2 linked regions of the Drosophila melanogaster genome follow. The protein of the gene in region 2 interacts with the protein of the main gene of each other region in a pairwise test. Each region holds a gene or a part of one and is shown on either strand. Other genes may lie near its edges. The genes, in order: GABA-B-R2 and CG7102.

What was found.
Region 1: the proteins of CG7102 (region 2) and GABA-B-R2 interact in a two-hybrid assay, tested with the Drosophila melanogaster proteins (one large-scale study listed by BioGRID).

The regions. Positions count from the first base shown.
Region 1 is NT_033777.3:21,767,791-21,779,254, forward strand, and holds GABA-B-R2 (metabotropic GABA-B receptor subtype 2), read right to left. Parts: upstream 8,051-11,464; 5' UTR 7,951-8,050; intron 7,558-7,950; 5' UTR 7,544-7,557; coding exon 7,295-7,543; intron 7,119-7,294; coding exon 6,637-7,118; intron 6,576-6,636; coding exon 6,395-6,575; intron 6,340-6,394; coding exon 6,121-6,339; intron 6,066-6,120; coding exon 5,770-6,065; intron 5,710-5,769; coding exon 5,346-5,709; intron 5,284-5,345; coding exon 5,173-5,283; intron 5,107-5,172; coding exon 4,870-5,106; intron 4,458-4,869; coding exon 4,112-4,457; intron 4,050-4,111; coding exon of another isoform or gene 4,047-4,049; coding exon 3,944-4,046; intron 3,887-3,943; coding exon 3,420-3,886; intron 3,359-3,419; coding exon 2,739-3,358; 3' UTR 2,543-2,738; downstream 1-2,542. Other genes in the region: Burs (bursicon), read left to right, coding at 1,761-1,890, 1,955-2,079, 2,138-2,404; CG6800 (uncharacterized protein), read left to right, coding at 8,348-8,548, 8,602-8,986, 9,049-9,199, 9,252-9,423; Polr1H (RNA polymerase I subunit H), read right to left, coding at 9,499-9,523, 9,588-9,807, 9,859-9,976; tsl (torso-like), read right to left, coding at 10,562-11,413.
Region 2 is NT_033779.5:7,880,684-7,890,644, forward strand, and holds CG7102 (uncharacterized protein), read right to left. Parts: upstream 6,831-9,961; 5' UTR 6,370-6,830; coding exon 6,245-6,369; intron 6,015-6,244; coding exon 5,852-6,014; intron 5,788-5,851; coding exon 5,625-5,787; intron 5,427-5,624; exon of another isoform or gene 5,293-5,426; coding exon of another isoform or gene 5,194-5,292; intron 5,122-5,193; coding exon of another isoform or gene 4,966-5,121; exon of another isoform or gene 4,820-4,965; intron 4,768-4,819; exon of another isoform or gene 4,661-4,767; coding exon of another isoform or gene 4,376-4,660; exon of another isoform or gene 4,247-4,375; intron 4,106-4,246; coding exon 3,972-4,105; intron 3,899-3,971; coding exon 3,228-3,898; intron 3,146-3,227; coding exon 2,854-3,145; 3' UTR 2,599-2,853; downstream 1-2,598. Other genes in the region: small ribonucleoprotein particle protein SmE, read right to left, coding at 4,376-4,660; CG34132 (uncharacterized protein), read left to right, coding at 4,966-5,121, 5,194-5,292; Spn28Da (serpin 28Da), read right to left, coding at 7,108-7,247, 7,305-7,467, 7,522-8,360, 8,417-8,429; Spn28Db (serpin 28Db), read right to left, coding at 8,688-8,809, 8,876-9,038, 9,092-9,909.

The sequences.
Region 1 (11,464 bases), on a different chromosome or scaffold from region 2:
CAGTGGTCTAGCTCAGCTTGTAGTTTTTGAGCTTTCGACCATTGGGGTGGTGGAGTGTTCGTATATAATAGCCACTTTATGTGCGCTATTCTCTTTTTTATATTATGTCGAACTCCGCCCCTGTTTTTTCCCATCACACTGACACTCTACTCACTCAGATCGCTTTTTTCTTCATAATTGCCGCCGTCTTGGTGGATGAGCATCGAAGTTGAAAATTATCACAAGCGGTTTCCTTTAGCTTCTGCTACAACTTATAACGATCCTTTGTCACGGTCGCCATGTAGTTAATTAGAATTCCAATACTTCTGATGTAGTTAATAAAGTCTCAAAACGCAGTTGGTCATTTTATCTTTATTTGGTTTTTATTAAGCGAGCGTACATTCCAGATCTATTCCTGATTTATAACTGATCTTAGTGTGGTCTACAGGCAGATCTCTTGTGACAGCCAAGTGCTGACACTAGCAAATTCTGCAATATGTAAGTATGTAGTTCATACTCGATAACCAATGGGAGTCGAGTGCGACCCCTAAAGGCGTACATGCTGAATTCGCATATTTAGTATTAGGGTGTATCTAAAGATCTACTAGGGTGACCCTAAGGAATTAGGGTGGTCCTAAGTTTACTTATTAGTCGACTTATTATTATGATTCATATTATAATTATTATTAATATTATTATTATTATTGTTATTATTATTGTTATTATGTTCGTATATACTACACTCCGCTGGATGTGGCCAATCGCAACAAACTGATCAAATGGCTGTGCAGATACCAGGCCAGCAATTGCAGGCCAAAGGTTAACGTTCAGTTCGTAACAGGTCATGAAGTACCATCGCCGGATTACCGGGAAACGTTCTATTGTGCCGCCAGTGGTGCCGATTACAACTCATACACCATGTTGTGGGGTCAGTATTATTTGGAAAATCGCACTAGCGAAAAGAATATGCTCTGGGCTGCAATCAGCTGCACGAGAGACTACGAAACCCATTACCACAAGATGATCATCTCTGGTACGGAAAGTGTTGAACAAAAGAAAATTGGTATCGCCCGTATGTACGAGGAGAATCCTGACTTGGTTCAGGCAATTTTCGAAATGATTACCGAAAACATTATGGAATTAGCGTATAAGTGAGTTATTTTTCATAATTTGATCATCTGAGAGTGTGGTTTGATTGTTTATTGAACACTTAACCTTGTCGCTTTTCAGCTTCCAGAGTTGGTCGGGACACGGCCGAGGTGATCAATGACATGGCGGAGTACTTCACCACCCGGGAGCAACAGCAGTTGCTCAAGGAATTCTACTACAGCAATCACCAGTTCTTCGGTGAATCGGAAGAGCTGCTCTCCAAGTCCCTGGTCACTGTGGAAAAAAACCTTAACTGGGCGGAAACCCATTTGGAAGGCTTAGTAAAATATCTGGCGGACAGAAATGGTAGCTCCTGCCTGGGAGCCACTTCCTTGGTGGTGGTTCTGCTTTTAGCAGTGGGCAGCATGTTGGCCTGGCCCTGATTAGCCAATAAGTTGTGAGGGAAATAAAGAGATTGCCGTGGTCGTGCGCCGCGGGAGAAATGCCCTTTTCGTGTACGCAATTACTAGGCAAAAAGGTTTGGACGGCCCTTGCTTTATTAGGCCATAATTTACGCTGTCGAGCGGCCATTAGAGCGGCATCCGCTGGCCAAGTTGGTCTATAAAAGCCCGGCGGCTGCAAGTGGCGTTTTCCATTCCACGTGAAAGGACACTCGCAGTCGGGCCGACGAGATGCTGCGCCACCTGCTCCGCCACGAGAACAACAAGGTCTTCGTCCTGATCCTGCTCTACTGCGTCCTGGTCAGCATTCTGAAACTCTGCACGGCACAGCCGGATAGCTCTGTGGCCGCCACGGATAATGGTATTTGATAAGGCATTTGATAATATCATATTATTCGCTCTAATGGATTCCATTTACCATCCAGATATTACGCATCTTGGCGACGATTGTCAGGTGACGCCCGTCATCCATGTGCTCCAGTATCCTGGATGTGTGCCCAAGCCGATTCCCTCGTTCGCCTGCGTGGGTCGCTGTGCCAGTTATATCCAGGTGGGTGTTGATATACTTGAAATATAAATTATAATTTGATATAATCTGATGACTTTAGGTTTCGGGCAGTAAGATCTGGCAAATGGAGCGTTCCTGCATGTGCTGCCAGGAGTCTGGTGAGCGGGAGGCAGCCGTCTCGCTATTCTGTCCCAAAGTGAAGCCCGGCGAGCGTAAATTCAAGAAGGTCCTGACCAAGGCGCCATTGGAGTGCATGTGTCGGCCATGCACTTCCATTGAGGAGTCTGGCATCATACCACAGGAAATTGCCGGCTATTCGGACGAGGGTCCACTCAACAATCACTTCCGGCGCATTGCTCTGCAATAGATTCCCCCATCAGTTTAGCACTCATACCCATGCCCATTTGCTCATTAAAATAAATTAGAGTTGCCGTTTCTGCTTGTACACAGTGAAAAATGTGCCTCTGAAAGCTCATGCCAGTGAAAGGGAAACATCAGCAGATATATGATTATTTTAAATTGTAATTTATTTCCCAACTATCTCATGTCATTGCTACTAGTTCACTAAATGGTGTGTGTCCTGCTTCACAGGGTATGTATGTAGATGCGTAACTCCAAAGAAAACAAAGATAATCTTTACACTGCAACTGGATCTAACAATAGGAGTTTAACTACGGCATAATGCATATGACTCGCGCCGCCTACAAGTACTCGACGATATCGCATTTGATGGATATATTCGGACAGCTCTGGCCCACGGCACTGCGGCCCCGATAGTTGGGACTCTTCTCGGTGAGGAGTTTCCGGAAGATGGGCAAAATTGCCGTCTCGCCCTCGAGCAGTTCCGTCTCGCTGCTGGCGCCGTAGATGCTGCTATCCTGCTTGCCGCGCTGCCTGCTCCGCTGCTTATCGGGCGCCACATTGGGCGAACTGTGGTGGTGGGCGGCGTGCTGGATGTTAGAGCTCCGGCTGACCTTACGCGGCTGGACGCACGGCTGACTGTTGGGCGGCGGATCTCGTTCCCGTTCGCTGTCCGTCTCGCTCTGGCAAACGGTGCCCTTTTGCGGTTTTGGCCGATGTTTGTTGCGGTTCTTCTCGGAGACGGACCGCTGGATGGGCGAGGTGGTGTTCGGGTCATAGGTCATCCCGTGGCCGCCATGATGTTCCGCACAGCGCTGCGGACTGGCGTAGTTCCGCGGCGACTGGCGCTGCTTGGCGTGCGACAGCGTGTGCGTGTCCCAGAGGTCACTCTGTGAAACCACGAAATTGGACTTCAGAGCGGAGCCCATGCTGGTGCGGCGATGGTCGGAGGCAGTGGGAGCTATTTTCGATTAGAAAATCGATAGTATTATAGTATTATAAGAGACGCGCAGAAAACTTACTCTTAATCACAGCCGGAGTACTGGGCTTTGAGTGTGGACACATGTTGCTCAACTCCGATTGCGATGTGGAGATGTTGGTGGAGGAGTTCCGGTGCGAGCTGCTGTACTTTGGCCGGGCGGTGGGCGTCTGGCTGCCACTGTCGTAGTGCCTGGAGGCGGTCGATTGACGCCTCTCCCGCATGCTGGAGCAGTCTCCTCCGCTCCGCTTGCCCGCCGTACTGGTGATGCTGCCTATATTATCATCGGTCTGAGCGGACACCGAGTTTCTCTTCTCCAGATGGCGATGATGATGCTGCTGCTGCTGCTGTTGCTGTTGCATCTGCTGGTGTTGCTGCTGCTGCAGGTGCTGCTGCTGCATCTGCTGATGTTGCTGTAAGTGCTGCTGCAGTTGCTGCTGGATGGGCTGCATCATAGTTGGAGCAGGGGCATGCGAGTGGTGCTCTACAATCGATTGCTTTTTCTTTTTGCTGTTGGAGAATATCCATAGATTAGAGTGTATTTAAGACCAAAATTTAAGAACTTACGGAGGAAGCGATGGCGCCATCACTGTAGACTGCACCGACACAAAGGAGTTATCCATCTCCACATGAGTCGAGGTCACACTATCCACGGACGTCATCTCGGTAACTTCTATGACAAACGGGTTGCAATGCATGAACATATCTACGAAATCCCCCTCCTTAGCCACTCACCTGTGGTGCTGGGCATCTCTCGACGCACCGGTGGAGCTGAGAGCCTAACAATGTCATCGTTCAGTATGGGCTCCAGTTCGCTACCGACGTTGGAGCCACCTGTGCAGGTCACCCCATCGATCCATTTGCGTGCCTCGGGTCCCAGCTTGCGGATTAAGGCCTGCAGCTCGTTCTCCTTCTCCATCAGCGCCTTTCGGAATCGGCAGTTTGTGTTCTTTACATCTCGCAATCGTTGCTCCAGTTCGCACACCGAGGAATCCCGGCGTCCGTTTTTGGACATGGGTCTCAACGTGGCCCTAACGCGTTTGTCCACCACGCCCTGGGGATTCCGCTTCAGCTCCACCAACTGCAAAACGATTCGCATGAATATTAACCAAAGATTATACTACGCGGTCAACATCTAGGAAGGATCAACTCTACGGACAGTAATATAGGATAGTTAAAGATATTCCAACAGCAAGGAAGTGGGATTTGCCTACAACCTTGCTGCTGCTCTTAGTGGGTTCTATATAGTTCAAGTTTATAGTTAGTCTGTAGTGTTATATAGCATTTTAAGATCTGTTTTCGAGTACATGTTGTTTCTGTATCAAGGTGTATCAACGCTAGACGAAAGATCAGCTCAGCTGGCGGTAAAGTACGATCAGTTAAGAAGCTCTAACCACAACTGATCGGCCTATTACCGCCGACAAACAACATTCATATTACACGATTATTATATGTAACATATAACAGCTACAAAAACTACAAAACTTCCTTACTACCAGTCTTACTTTCGGTACGAACACCAAACACAAAGTGGCTGTCGTACAAAAAATGATAAAAAACGAGAGTAAGACAAAAACTAAATCCTTTCGATCCGATAGCACCAGGGATATAGCCGCTCCGGCCAGACAAGTGATGAACACGTTATAAACGGAGAAACCAATATGCTTGGAATCGTTCAGAGCCGGTATAGAAACATGTCGAGTTTCCCAGGCCAAAAAGGCGCCAAAAACCTATTGAAAAAAATTATTGCTTTATTATAATGATATCTTACAAATTAATGTTTATTATATACTCACCAACAACAGTCCCTTGTAGGCATAAATAATGCTAACGAATATGGTCATGTGCTCAGACTGGCAGTACTCGTTTTCGGGGATCACCAAGACATCATCAATATTCTCGTGATGCTGTAGTTAATAATAATCATTTTAGATTTTTCACTTCAAATATGTTCTATCAATGCACTCACCAAGGGTTCCAACTGTTTAGTTTCGCGGTAAAAGGGATCGGCAATCTGCCAGGTGGTTATAATGGCTATATCAATGGCCAAAAGCACGCCCACAACCATAAACAATTGATAGTCCTTGATCACCTTCTTATTGAGCTTCAGATCGGTGAATATCGAATGCACCCGCCACGTCTTCGAGAACATGGCTCCAAAACTGAGACTGAATCCAGCCATCAAGATCCAGGCTCGAGCTGTGCAGATATAGGGAAAAGCTGCCACACTACTTAATGTGGTATCGAGACCCAGGAAAATGATGCTCAAATAGGTCATCATACAGCCCACAATGATCAGATTGTTCAAATGGGGACTGGACATCTTGATGTATCTATAAAAACATCAATATTTTATTAAACGAAATTGTTTAATATAGCATTGTTAAGCTCACCTTTGATTGCGATACTTAATGTTAAAGGCCAGAAAAACTGTGGCAATAATCACTCCAATGACCGAAGCACTAGCCGATACAATATATATGGTTGGATTGACCTGACTGTGCTCGATGTAGATCAAAGTGCGATCCTTGGGAGGAGTTTTCCCCACCCATTTGACTGGTTTTCCCAAGCTTAAATCCAAGTGTGACTTCTGTGAGTGGTATTCCCCGATCTTTTCCATTTGTCCCAGCTGAAACTGATTGATCAGGATGTTGGCCTTGCGCTCGTTGTTGTAGAAACGCACGGGTCCCTTGAGAATGTAAAATATGTTTTAACTGCAAAAACTGGATTGTTTATCTATCTACCGTCACACCCTCGAAGGATGTATTACGTAGAGCCTCAAGGAAGACACTCTCCCAGTCCTTCACGCGATAATCAAAATGTGTTAGCAGATCCTCTCGCTTTTCGGCCACATACTGAATGGCCAGGGCAGCTGCCCAGATACCATCGTAGGTATAGCCATGAAAGCGGGAATATTCAGTGCCTCGCAGTCTGTCGTACTCCACAAGATACTCATCAGCAGTCTAGTAAAATATGAAATTTATTACAAGAATTTTAATAGACTTTACTGGTACTAACAATGCCAGCCACTGTGATGTCACCACTGGTGGACAAGGGCAAAAGATCCACTAGAATGGCACCTTCCAAGGCTGTAGCGATCTCCTCCACACTGCACTCGCTGTCCTGCGTGACATTCCACCAATCCGTGGAATAGGTAGCCATGATCAGCCATTGATAGGCTCTGCCATACATATCCAATCTGGAAGGGAGTTTATTGCAATAATTTTAAATTGAGACTTAAGTTAGTATATCCAACTCACTTATAAGCCTCACAGAATGCCTTGCGTGCAAAGTGCTCGTTAAAGTTGCCCAGAATGATCCTCACGTCCTTCTCGCGCAGTTTCTTCAATGATTCAGCCACATCGTTGACGAAGCTCTGCGTTTCCACCACCTCGACCTCCATGGCATCCAGGTCAGCCACCATGTGATTGTGGGGCAGCGAATAGCGTGGCTCATTCTGGTAGACAGTGCCCACTCTGGTCCAATTGAACTCCTTCAGCAAGGCCAGTCGCGGCGCATTAAAGGCATTCTCCGAGGGTACCACGCGAAAGAAATTCGGAAACGCATCCTTGGTGAACATGGGATGGGTGTCCGCGTAGCTGAGCTGGGTGAGGTGCCAGTGCTTGCTGGCCTTGGCTATGGGATCGGTCACATGGGTGCACGCAGCGCCGAAGAGCATCACTTTATTGGGACCCGAATGCATCATATCGAAGAAGGACTTTACGCCCACAGCAGCATTGCACTGGAAAGGAAACCAAAATTACATTCCAGAATATATGGAAATATGCATAGGTAAAGGTGTGATATTACAATATGAACCAATGAACATTAAAAAAAATACCTAATTGAACTTTAAAAACCACAAGTCCATCATCAGAGATTCACTTAATGAAATCTTCAAGCTAAACCCTAACTCACCTGAGTGTCGTTCCACCACATGTGCAGCCTGTAGTTGGCCAGTATCTTTCCATGCTCATTAACGTGACCCAAGGCGAGCTTTACACTGGGCATAACGCCCCGACCGGTGTAGGAGTTTTCCACGCCATCCCCGTACGGGAAGAATCCCGCTATGTAGACGTCCGATCTCTTGGCTGTCCTGCCACAGGCGGTGCTCCAAAGGAGCAGGAACAGCAGGCTGGCGAATGGAAACCAACTTGGCCGGAACATGTTGACCGCGTGGGCTGTAAAACGATTCTAAATGTGAATAGCGCATATCGAGGACGTGAACTTGGAGCCAAGTTGTGGGTGGTGAATGGCAGTGGTTGGTTTCGGGTGAGCCAAGGCTGCCGAGGCAAGGCTGCGCCCAGTGGGTGTGTATTATTTTCTACGTTCTACCTGTGTTTGCTGGCACTCGCATGCAATTTTACAGGACAGGTGGAGCAAGGCTAAGGCCAGTCCAGGCCAGCAAAATTGCTTCAAATTGCTGCAGCAATGCTGGCACGTTTAGTAATTATAAAGCAATTTAATGATCTAAAGGATTCGTGCATTATTTAGTATGCTCGTTAACGCGAAGGAGTATCTTCCAGGTGTTGCATCCTCTTAAATCTTATGTGTACATGTTTTTAGGAACCTACCAGCTTGCTTAGTCCCAGAACTGGCTTTTATTTCACTACCGATGCCATTTGAAACACTTATTTTACATCAAATCTCAGCCAACGAAGAACTTTTGCAGTGCGAGGGTCCGAAAAATTATGTATCCCCCTGACTTGACATTTGTCTGACAGGAGGAATTCGAGGCAGGAAGTGCGCATGTCCTTAAACCGAAAGCTGTCACTGCTCCGCCTTGGCCTAGGCTTTCCAACCCCCGTAATTACCATAAACCCACTGCGCTTGTAAACATCCTGCAACAGGTGGTCCCATCAGCTGGTACTCCGGCAATTGTTGTGCCCGTTGCCATGGACTACTGGGGTCGAAAAACGAAGTAGATAACTGCTCGGAAAATTACCAAATTGAAAATTGTGAGTAACCATAATGGAGGACTATGCGCCCAGCCGCTATAAAATGCTTGAGAAAATCGGCGAAGGCGTCCATGGCTGCGTGTTTAAGGCCATCGATCTGCAGCGCAACAAGGAGGTGGCCATCAAGAAGGTGGCCCTTAAGAACAAGTTCGGAAACATAGCCCTAAATACTTTGAGGGAAATCAAGACCCTGCAGCTTTGCAAGTCTGAATATGTAGGTATACCATATATCTATTTTCCATTTGTTAATTATGTAACTAATTGTAGATTCTGGACATCATTGATATATATCCTGACCTAACTGGTCTCTCCTTGGTGCTGGAATACCAGCCGGACACTCTGTACAACCGCCTCAAGAGCGAGGTTAATCCCCTGAGCCGCCAGCAGGTGCGTAAGTTTGCACACCAAATGTTCAAGGGGATTGCATATCTGCATGAAGCGGGTCTCATGCACCGGGATATTAAACCCGCCAATCTGCTTATCAGCGATACAGATATGCTTAAGATTGCCGATTTCGGACTGGCCCGTCTGTACTTCCCTGAAGACGAGTCGCGCCTTTATTCGCCTCAGGTCTCAACCCGGTGGTATCGAGCGCCAGAGATTCTATTTGGCAGCCAGAAGTATGGAACCGGAGTGGATATGTGGGCGGCAGGTTAGCCATGACTCTTTGATGGGTTTACATATATCCTTATGGCTGACATTATTGCTATCCAGGTTGTGTTGTGGCGGAGATGCTACGCGGAGTGCCCCTGTTTGCGGGAACCACCGACATCGAGCAATTAGCCATCATCATTCGCACTCTGGGCAGCCCACGTCTGAATCAGTGGCCAGAGCTGACTTCTCTGCCGGATTACAGCAAGATACGGTAGGCATTCTTACCGTCTATGATTACTTAATCCGTAATATTCTTGACGTAGGTTTCCCAACTCCGTGGGCATTCACTGGGACAACTTGTTTCCCAGCTGCACACATGCGGTGGAAATCAATCTGGTCTCGAATCTGGTGGTCTACAATCCCAAAAACCGACTCAAGGCCAGCGAGGTGGGTTCTGCTTCAAGTTTGACACCGGTTAGGTATTATAATTGGTAAATTCTATATTTCTCAGGCCGTCGAGCATGATTATTTTCATTAATCTAGGACTATTTACACGGACATTGCTAGCAACTAAGAGTTTTCGGATTCTTTGAATCTGCAAGGTAGAATGTGTGTGATTAGTTGTGGAAGTGAAGGAATATGTTTATCAGGACACCTACTTGCACTTAAGGCAGGTAAAGAACACCGTCTGGCCTTCGTCCGCCGATCGAAGCTGCAGGGTGGCATAGGACATCTTGTCGTGGTTGCACTTGGGACACTTCCTCTCCACAACGGGGCCATCCGCGTCCGATTCCGACTCCCTTTTCGTCCTGTTGAACACCTTGCTGGGATCGTAGGTGTTGAAGTGTATGGTAAACTCGGACTTCTCGCCGCTGTAAACTATTTTTAAGTGTTAAATAAATTAAACAAAGTTGTAATTTCTGGATTTACCATCTGGCTGAAACTCCTTCTTGCAGTTGTAGCAAATCACATTGCCCTTGACTTGAAGCTCGGGCAGAATGGAGCCGCAGGAGGGGCAAAAGCCCGGACAATTGGAAAAAATATCCATGCCAGTATATATCACCCAAAATCAAAATCAAAATACAAAAACCGCACGTGCTATTTCGGATTTCAGTATGAGCGTAACTGAACCGTTTGAAATATACCACACGGTATTAAAAATATACTTGATTCATATACTAAATACGTAAGGGTGGAAAACTAGAATAAGTCTGGTTGAAAGCCTTGATGAAACGGGTAGAGCCGTTTACCCGTTTCGATTACCGGTTCTTAATCAAAATCAATTATTCAAAATAAACTTTCAAAATAGTATTTGATATTCATAGCCAATATTACGTAATGAAAACAGTTAGATTTTAATAGCCAATATCAAGTTATGAAAACAGTAAGATTTTTACTTTTATCTTTACTTTGTATTAAAGTTTACAAAACTATTACATCAATAAGGCGATCTTACGGTCTAGTTAGCTGAAATGCAAGTCGGATGTGTACTGTGTTCCAATTAAACTACCTAAAACTATCACAGGCAGAACATTAACTACGCACTAGAGGTTCCTAACTACAACTAAGCATCTAGGAACTATTGATCCTTGGCTGCCACATATCGCACAGTATATATATATTTAAAATGCAGCTATCGGGTGGGATGACTCTGCGGCATGTTAAGCTCCCAGAGCTTCACATTGTTGTCGAGAACCTCGTGGTACCAGCTCTCCTTTTCCGGCTCCTCCCGGAAGATGGGCTTCAGCGACTTGAGGTCCAACTGCAGTATGGCATCGTTGCCGAGCAGCGAGTCCAGGGATCGCAGTAGAGTACTATTACCGTGCAGTTTCAGCAGGGTCACATACTTGACCACATAGTACTCGTACTGCAGCTTCCTTCTCGCCCATCTTTCCACTGTAGCATTGGCACTAGCCGATCGAATCTGGCCCAGATGGGCGGCAAACCAGGGCGCAAAGTAGTTGTAAAGATCCAACTTGGACAGTCCGTTCAGACCTTTACTCTTGATTCGCTCCTTGATCATGCTGTAGTTCTTCCTGCTGTACACAAACACCTGATACAGCGAATTGCCGGTGGTGTATGAGTTTACGTAGTGGGTGCCCACATCTTCCATAAATCGCACTGCGGAAGTTATATTTCCGATTTGCAGTTGATCCATTCTCGATCGCACATCCGGCTCCAAGGGTTGGTGCACCGGAATCTCAGCGTTAAGACGCCCCGTTTCCCTGAAGCGCACCACCCTCACCAAAACATACGAGTAATCGCCTTGGATGAAAGATGTATTGATGCCCAGCTTCTTGGCCGCATTATCCGGAAACCATCCGCCAGTAAATGCCTCCCACGGTTTGTCCATTCGCTCAATGGAAAAGTCACGGAAGTAGGCCTGGAACAGTTGCCTCCGATTCTCGCAGAACTCCATGTGAAAGTCTCCATGAAAGATTCCGGGCGTGGTGTCTTCATGACTCTCCGCCAGGCCACTCAGATTCTGAAAGAAAAAAATCATTAATTATCTAATTGTCTAGTCAGCTCAATTATC
Region 2 (9,961 bases):
ACCCTCCGTAGGGTTCTCCCCATCTCCATGACCATGTCTCTGCGGTTATATTACACTCTCTTAGCCAGGTGAAACAGTGGCCAGTGGCCACAGGGCAGAAGCAACGGGGTTATGCGGCGGTAATTTGAAATGTGTCGAGTGCATCGGGCGATGAGCAAATGGATGGCGGCGATGATGCTATGAATGAATGACTCGGTGTATATTTCATCTAAGCGATGGAGGTGTGGTCGTGTCAACGTCATAGATCTCGGATCAATGCGTCCACTTTGCATATTAGCACCTCGCGAATTGGAGCTCCCAGCATCTAGACAGCCGGAAACGGATGCAACTAATGGATAAAACAGCCTCAACGTGCTATGATCTTATCTTGGACATGATTTTTTCTGGGAAAAACGCCCTTTAATGGTGTCTCCTGTTTGATGGATGAATCAGTTACGAGTGGGGAATTTTTCTGATGTAGGATATGCGGTAATATACTTGGCCTGTGGGTGATTCTCTTGCCCTGGTCCCCTTTTCAGGGTCACACGCGGTGTCTTGAGCCACTTTTCCTTTTTCGCATTCTTACATGCAAATAAGTCACTTAAACTGTAACACTTGGGTTTGGCCAGCTGCTGGTCTGCTCGTTCACTTGGAAAAATTACATAAAAACTGAAAAATTGAAAAGTGTATAAACGGAATTTCGAAAAATGGCAAGTTGAGAAAAACCTTTACATATTTAAATTTACTAATTCGATTAGGGGTACTTCTTCATAAGGTATACGTGCATTCTAGGAACAAGTTTCTTATGAATTGAATTTTTGTATTTTTTCTCAATGTAATGTTGTGTGCTGACCAAGTCATAACCATAACCATGGCCATGGCTAATAGCCAGGCCTTTGTTCTATTGGAGTTGCTGCTGACCAAGCCCAACAAATATCGCATATTTTCATAAAAGCCAGGGACGGAAAGTGAACTATAAAATAAAAAAATTGGCTTAATGTTTATACATATTAAAAGAAAACTTTGAATGTAAACTGTGTGTATAAATCACCAAATCTATACCAAATTTAGAGAATGGATTTTAATTGTCTAAATCGGAAACGTTTTATATTTCAAAAATATTAACTTCCTATCCTTCACGGCACCCCTGGCTGTCTTCCGTTTCCCCAGAAGAACCATTAAAACTGTTTCTAGCTTTTCCCATATGAGGAAGCTAATGATTCATCCAAAACACTGGCACTTCCTGCCCGTCCCTAGTCTCTCACTTCAAACGCTGCAAGCCCAGATGCAATTTGAACCGAACCGATTTCATAAGGCCAGAACAAGTTTGCGCATAGATCAGTTCAAACGAAAAAATTACTTAAGCGTTAGTTATATATTTTTTTTTTTTGCCTTTCCCTTTTCATGCGACAGACATTGAAACTTCTTGGTCGGATTTTGCTGTTGGCTGGCACATGGCGCATAACGAATCCATGGCTCCAAAATCCAATCCGAAACCACTCGACAATCAAATATATTTGACGCGAAATCGAACTGAATCGAGATCTATAAATGACATTCCTTCTAGCGCCTGGACCTGGACATTAAATCGCCCCCGGGGTCTGTCAAAGAGAAGTGAAACAGCGCCGGCAACAATTTGTAGACCTTATCGAAAGGTGGCTCTCGAGCTGTGGCCTTAAGTCGTTAACAAATTTTGACTGCCAATCCGTTGTGCAGCCACAATAAAATAAAACGCCACAAACATCAAGTGTTTGTTGCTGGCTGCCATTGTCGAGGGTTCTGTTTAGGTTTTTACTCGGGGTTTCGGATGTCCAATCCCCGGATCGAAACGAATGACAAAAATGTGGGGGCCCAAGCCACCGATGTTGATCGATTCGATCAGCATAAAAAAAGCTTTAATTAGAACCAATTTAGAGCGTGGACCAATTTATCAGAAGCATTTTGAAAAGTAGTTGAAAACCAGTCGAGAGCAACTTCAGCATTTCCGACGGCGGGTGTTAGGGAGGTGTTGCCGCACATTTCATTATATTGTAGCTCAACATTAGCCGACATATTATTGTTATGGCTTATAAGCCCAACTGAAGTGAACTGAAACAGCAAACTGAAATTGCCATTTACGCATTTGTTTTTCTTTGTCAATTGTTCCACTATTTAAGAGGTGTGGACCAGGTTCAAGTGCACATTCATAACTATTATATATTTGTAACAATATGGAGTAGTGACTGCAAGAGTTAAGTGATGGGTTAATGAACGTGCCGAAGGGAAATATATTGTTTCGCAGATAAAAGAAATGTTTGAAATAGTTTTGAACAATTTAGGGTGTCATTCGGGTTTATCGAAATAAATATTTGTAAATAATAGTAAATATTCGAAATAAAAAGAAGGGCAATGAAACCTTGAAATTTCAAGATTGTCATGTTTTAAAAATTTGTTGTAATTAAAACTCTACTTCCAAGCTGTGCAATCCATAGTTCAAAGAAAAATGCTGAAGTGACAGCATTCGTGCCAGGCACCATGCTGAAGTATTTATTCAGCGAAAACTACCAACTATTGGAGCTGCCCTCTTGTTTTTTATTTTTGCTAACACTTTCAGCTTTACATACAATTGGGAAACCAGTTAATTAATTTGGTTCGATTCTTGGCATCAAGATGGAATTCAAGACAGCCGCCAAAAAAAGTTTTCTTTATATAACAATTCATTAATTACCTTTCGATTTCTGGTTTTTACCTTGGGCGGAGTCATGAACCCGACACCTAATGCCATTAGCCCAGCCGTTGCGGATCTGGGATTACAATATTCGAGTGTTTGGATCGTTCAAGGAAATAGTTTTATTGCCAGCATAGCTGATGCAACTACAAGTTGTTTCCCCAATTCTAGTATCTATCGTATTTTGCCTTTGTGGGCACCCCAGGAGCTTGGCCGTTTGTTGAGTGGTTCAGGTTCTGATTATTGCTGTGATTTGCTCCACTATTACTACTTCCTGCCGGCGAGGAAAGGGTATAGACCTCATAGTCGGTGATGGTAAAGTTATAGTCCCCGAAAAGTGTCAGGTGAGCAGCGTTGGTTCCGTCGTAGGAATGCGGAAGATTCGAGTATGAGTCCATGTTTGTATTACAGTTGCTGGAAATGAGCAGATCGGCTCCAGCACCAAAAATGGGACCGCAACTAAAGGGGAAAGCAGACATGGTAATCAGTACGAATTCCTAAACATAATGTAATATATAAGATTATTTTAGACATCACTTACTCAGGATGATAGCAAATGGCATATGGTTTCTTTACAATATCAAACTTGACCGGCTGTTCCCCATTGGCTGGATTCAAGGCAAAGAGGAAGGCTCGCTCGGACTGAACATATCCCCCCTTTCGGCTTGTTTTGGCCCACGCCACATCCGTATAACCACCACTGATCTCTCCATGCGATCCCAAGCCAATAACCATGCAAGGAGCCACGCCGTCGCAATAACGATGAAAGGCTCCAGAATCGTAGCCATGAGTGGACGCTCGGAAAACTAATCTCCAGGATTGCTTGCCCACTCCAACCCAATTATTGAGAACAGTCTGTAGTGCCAGATTGTCATTCTTCAGGATTTGGGATCCGGGAAACATGTTGACCGCTACAGCTAGGCGGGGCTGAAGTCTCTTATCGTTATCCATCATCTTATTGGCATGCAAAGCGGCATAGCGATATCGTTCTAGGGATAGTTCCATAGGTACAGCTCCTGTAGGTTCCACTTCCTCCGCGAAAACTTGGCTATCGATGAGAAGCAGACGCACGTGACCCATTACACCGCTTAAGTGTTGGCAGACACGAGCACGCTCCTCCTCAGTCCAATGTGCAGTGGGTTGGGTGACTCCTGCCTGGTATTTGGCCCAGGATAAAACGCAGCGCCACACTTCCTCCTCTTCCAAGCAGAACTATTGGTAGTTAACAGTTTTGGTAATTAAAGAAATTCAGTAAATTGAGTGGTTATTCATTATAAACTCTTACATAGTCTGAGGAAATAATCTTAATAATGGCATCCTTTGTTAAAGTAAGGAAGGCATTAGTCTTAACGCACTCATTTGCATTTTCCCCTATGTAGATGATGCAGCGTTCCATAAACGAGGCAGCGCATTTGGCACCTGAAATTTAAAGGGAAAGTTTAAAATTAATTCCTTGTTTTTTAAAGACACTCAACGGCTTTTACCTTGAGACAGCATCCTATTCTATATGTCCTGAAATCGGATCGTATTTGCTACCTTACCCATTAGAAACACTTGATTACAGAAAGTCTACCATTTATTTCAACATTCGTCTTCAGATATCGGCTTTACATTTATTTTACTTATATTAAGGGCGTTCAGCGTTTGCAGGTGGAATTCGAAGGATTCGCAGGATGGCCGCTGAGTCGCCTAGTCCTTCGTGGGACTGACGTTCTGTATGAGCGTGATGTTGTCGCCCTTGAGCATGATCCTCCCGAGGTTGCGGCGCTGCCGGGTCTTCACATAGACTTCCTCGGCGTCGTCCAGCACCAGATTCATGTACTCATCGAATCCCACAATGTGGCCCTCGATGCGCAGCGATATGTTCTCGTATAACCAAACTTGCACGCGGGACCGGTTCTGCAGGTAACGGAAGATCAGGTTGATGGGCTGCACCATCACCTTCTGCACCTTGGGATTTCCTTTGAACGACATTTTTGCTGATTTCCGACGACTTAATTTGAGTTAAACAAATTTTCGCTTCTTTTTGCCGGCGTCTTCTTTTCGTCCAGGCGATAGGCAGAAATATCGATGGCACAGCACAGATGGTCACACATAATCGCGGCCTACCGAACTATCGACCAGCCTAAAGATACCAAAATGGTAAATCCTCTGGTAGCATAACCATATCGATAGAAACACTATCACAATCGCACTGTTAAGTTTTTGTGGTTGGGCAGAAGTTGTTGCCATTTATTCATAGCTGAATTAAACTATAGTTTATAAAGAAAACCAAACAAATGGCTATGGCTAATGTGGACAAAGGTGAACTTATGGACCAGGTTAAGCAACAGATTGCTGTTGCGAATGCCCAGGAATTGCTCACGCAAATGACCGAAAAGTGCTTCAAAAAATGTGTCAATAAGCCGGGAACTTCCCTCGATTCGTCCGAACAGGCAAGCTATACATATCTTATTTTGCACTATAGAATATGTATTTAAATAGTATTTCATTAATATCCAATTTAGAAATGCATTTCCATGTGCATGGACCGGTTTATGGACTCGTGGAACCTCATTTCTCGGGTGTACGGCCAAAGAATACAACGTGAACAATCCAAGTTCTAAACACACGAATCGGCTTCTGCATTTTGGAGCAGCTTGGGACTAACTATATCTGCCAGCTATTGATTAGTTGTTATATCTAAAGTTTGATAATGCAATAAAAACATGCATTGCGTGTTACGTGATTCTGATAACACAACGTGCATATGTTTTTTCTTATCGATATGTGATGTGGTACAAAAAATACCAAAACTTTCAGAATGGTTAGTCTCAATACATTTGACATAGCATATTATGTAGAATGTATAAAGTGTTTTGGCGCGAATATGCAACTTCACATAATTGCTTACTTTTAAAGGTGTGATTTTCTAAAAGAGCTACTCAATATTACTAACCTGCTTTTTCGTGTATATCCATAACGGCGGTTAAAAATGTGCAGGCATTATCCACCGACAATGTCGATATAACGTGATCCTCGCAGGCAGTTCGTAGCTCAACCACACCGATATCCTGTGCCAATATCATCATTTGAAATACTTGCGAGTCCTGGAGAACCAACTGAAAAATGAATTTTGGTTATAATTTTATTATGTTAGATGTTACTAATAAGTAGTTTTCTTACCTTTGCGGTGTAAACGTACAAGATGAACTGCCTGAATAGTTCCGGATTCACGTGTGGTAATCGTATGGTGGTCGGAGTTGAAGCTCCTGGGGCTGCTGGCGATACTGTGCATCCGGGAATTCGACACACTTCACCTCTCTTCGCAGTCTTGAAGCTCTTGCACCTGAAATCGAATTGAGTGAATGGAAAGGCAAGACAAATTAATTAAGTGACCAACTGGAATACCCGGGATTCCAGCACGCAACATTGTAAGATTCCGAAAAAGGCAACCGTAGGCAATTATCTTATTCCACAGAGAAAAATTATACAGTTATTGGCATTTATAAGATTTTAAGGTATCACCAAAATTTATTAATCTCTTAAGTATTTGTTTGAAAAAACAATTTAACTTACCGAGCCATTAGCATTAATCTATGGGCATATATGCGCTCATCTCTGCCACAAATGAATACCACATCTGCACTATCCTGATCCTCGGAAAGGCGCTGCAGATCCTCGATCAACTGGGGCAGACTCATGATTGATTTTTATTATTAAGTGCGGTATTCTTGGGCTCAAAAAATTGCAATCATTCGTGCAGAAGTGCACGTGTTGCCTTGTCCCTCTGCAAGCACTGGGTTTTGTTATTATTTTGCGATTGGGTTTGTTTATGTTTTCAACTTGGAAACTCTCTTTATTTCTCTCTTTTAATCGCTGGATTCGTGGGAGCGCAGAAACCGGTTCCTGGCTGAAAATTCTTGGCCGACACCAAGCCACAATCGATTTGGCAAACAATATGGCCTGGGAAACAATTGCAACAAGATTAAATGGTATAACTTTTCTACAAATATTATTGTAATAGTAATATTGTGCACTATTTATTTTACACAGCTGCAAACTAAGCGTTTTTTCAAACAATTTCGACCTTTCCTCCGCGAAATCTGATTTTCTTTGACCGCTGGTCGTTCTTCTCGCGATCACGATTTGCTAAAGACTGAAGAAGAGACTTGGGACAGGTTGCTCTTTTGGATCTTTCTCAGTGTTTCTCCCAAGCAGGTAAACGGGATTAGTTTTTGTTTTGCTTTTCTCCATTCCGCTCTCTCTCAGTGTTATCTTTTTTGAGAGACTTTTTATAGCGAATGCTATAGAAATTTTCATTTATGAATGAAACTAATTAAGGACGAGACGAATTTTTCTTTATTGTATTCGCAAAAATTCACTTTGCGCAATAGATAAAATGGTGTAGAGTTTCTCGACTATTAGATACCCGTTACATTCTATATGGTTATACGGTCAATGGGATTGCTCTTCTTCAAAGGATCAACGACTCGGCCACGGAAATATATGTTGTCATCATCGCGAATCATGAAGACAAAGGGACTATTGACTGTAAAAGTAACCACACTAGTCGCATAATCTGAAAAATACCACAGGCAATCAAGCAGGAACATGATACAAATGTGCCATAATTTACCAGATAATCCTCGAATGGGGCTCGCAGAAGCGGATCCTGCGGACCCGCCTTCTTCGTCAATCTCTATAAAGGCTTTGTGTACGACTTGGCTGATTCTAGTGCCAGACTGGTTCAGTAGGACGCTGATATCCGACGAACTATTGAAGAGATCCTGTATTCCCATCTGCAAATTTAGAAACATGTAGTATATTAAATAAGGTGAGCAGAATCTACTAACGCTTTTAAGAGTTTCGACGAGCTCCATGCGGAAATCGATTTTAAATTTAGGAAGCTGCACATGTACATCCATTTCAGTGAGAACTATCTGAGGGTAACTTTCGATTGTGGCTTCTGCCTGAGTTAGGGACCCATTGTCCTTGGGCAGAACGATTACCATTGAAAGGTTTGAGTATGCAAATGGAAGCTCAATAATTTGGTCTATGGTCGAAGTACGCATCTTAAATCGACCCACTTGCGACATCATATTGACATTTACTTGGTAACTTTTGGATACATAGAATACCTTGGGCTTGGTGTTCATCTTATCGAATCGCGTCTTCCAGTAGCCCTTGAAGAAAGCTGCGTTGATCATGACCGCACTTTCATCGGGCGTCAAGTCACTGGGTATTATAATGTCTTTCACATTATCTAGTGTCTGGTCGAGCACCCAATCGTTTATAGCCCAGGCTGCCTTCAATCGATCGGCCAGCTTAATGGCTTCTGCCTCGGCCCTAAAGTGCTTATTGACTAGTTTATTGTAGCGCTTGTTAACACCAATTGTTTCGTTGACAAACAAGCGATTCGCCAAGTGGAGAATGGCTACCTTCTTGCCCCTTTCGAGTTTAGTCAAAAGCTTATCATATATAGTAGCTACATTCTTTTTATCCTCTGGCAGATTCAGAGCCGTCCTCAGTTCATTGGCTGTATTTCCATCCGCTCCCATGAGGATCATGCTCATTCCAATCTCGACGCAAAGAGGCGAGGCAATGATGTTATATTGTTTATTATCCTGCAAAAAGCTTCGGTAAAGTTGCTTGGTGAATTGACCTAGCACTGACGTGGTCACTAAGATCCAACCTTTGGAAAAGGAAAAGAGTCAAAGGTGAGCGATTAGAAAAAATGGCGCTACTCACACAAGTACTTCATGCTATACTCTCTGCAAGTAAGGTCATTGGAAACTAAAAGTAAAAGCCTCATGATTTAAGGTTTTCGAGAGCACTGATTTGTTATAGAACATTAAATCCATTATCTACGCTGTTAAACAATATTTTCAAGTAAAAAAACAGTTTCTCTACAAAAATGGAATTTTCATACCATTTTTAAGATATGTTCAGTAAGAGAAGCAATGGGTTTAATTATTTTTTAACTTCGTTGTTTCAAGTGACTAGAAAACAAAACATTGCCTTAAAGATGTAATTCGTTAGGCAGTCGAACGACGCGTCCGCGGAAGTAGACGGTATGCTTGTCGCGAATCAAGAAGACAAAAGGACGATTGACTTTAAAGGACGTCGATGCTCTTGTTTTTTCTGGCAAAGAAAAAAGATGAAATCAGTGGATGAGGTGATCTATAAAAAAAATTAGTCATAATGTACTTTGGATAGACTCTGCGTGGTCTGACGCTTCTCCTGTCGATGCTCCCCTTTCGTTGATCTCAATAAAGGATTTGTGTACCACATGGTTAATTTTGGCACCTGTACCGTTGGTCAGAAGGCCGCTGAGATCCGAGGTATTGCTGAAGATAAGGTGTATGCCCAACTGAAACTTAAAACATTGTAAAAATGATAGCATTTTCAACAGGTCCTACCCACTTTTTTTAGGGATTCAACTAGTTCCGTCTGATATTTGATTTTAAACTTTGGCAGTTCCACATGAACATTGTTTTCTACTAGGCTCTCTGAGAGTGTTCTAAGTATTTTTTCAATAGAGCTTAGATATGTGTTATGCAATGGCAGACCGATTATCATTGACAGGTCTGAGTTATCAAACGGCATCTCAATGATTTGTCCATAAGAGTGATCAGCAATCCTAAATCTGCCCACATGGGACATCATCCTGACATAAACTTTTTTATTATGATCTCCATGGAATACTTTTAGCTTGGTGTCCTTTTTACTAAACCTAGTTTTCCAAGCGCCGCTATAGTAGACGGTGTTAACTAACACTGCACTTTCATTAATTTGCAGGTTATGATCATTAGAAATAGTGCGCATGCCCTTGTGACTCTTCCGATGAATCGAAAAGCTGATACTGTTGCTAGCCTTTCTTTGACTTAACGGGTCTTTGCCCTCTGCCATGAAGGTGCTCTTCATTAACGTGTTGTAATCCTGCCTTACTTCATATGTCTCATTGACATAAAGCCAATTTGTAAAACGAAGCCCATTATGTTTTTGGAAATTAGACATAATCCTTTCGTATTTCTTGGCCATTTCTGTCACATCCACTGGTAGGTCAAGAACGCTTCTTAGTTCCTCGGCGGTTGTTCCTTTAGCTCCCATTAAGATCATGCTTATTCCAATTTCGATGCATAGAGGCGAAGCAATAAAATTACTTTCTGCCTTATCCATTACAAGTTCGAGAAGATTTAGCTTGAATTTACCCAACACTGAAGTGGCAATTAAAAGCAGAACTTTGACAAGAGCATTGAATCAATTAGGTTTAGAGTTAGAAGAGTGCTTTCA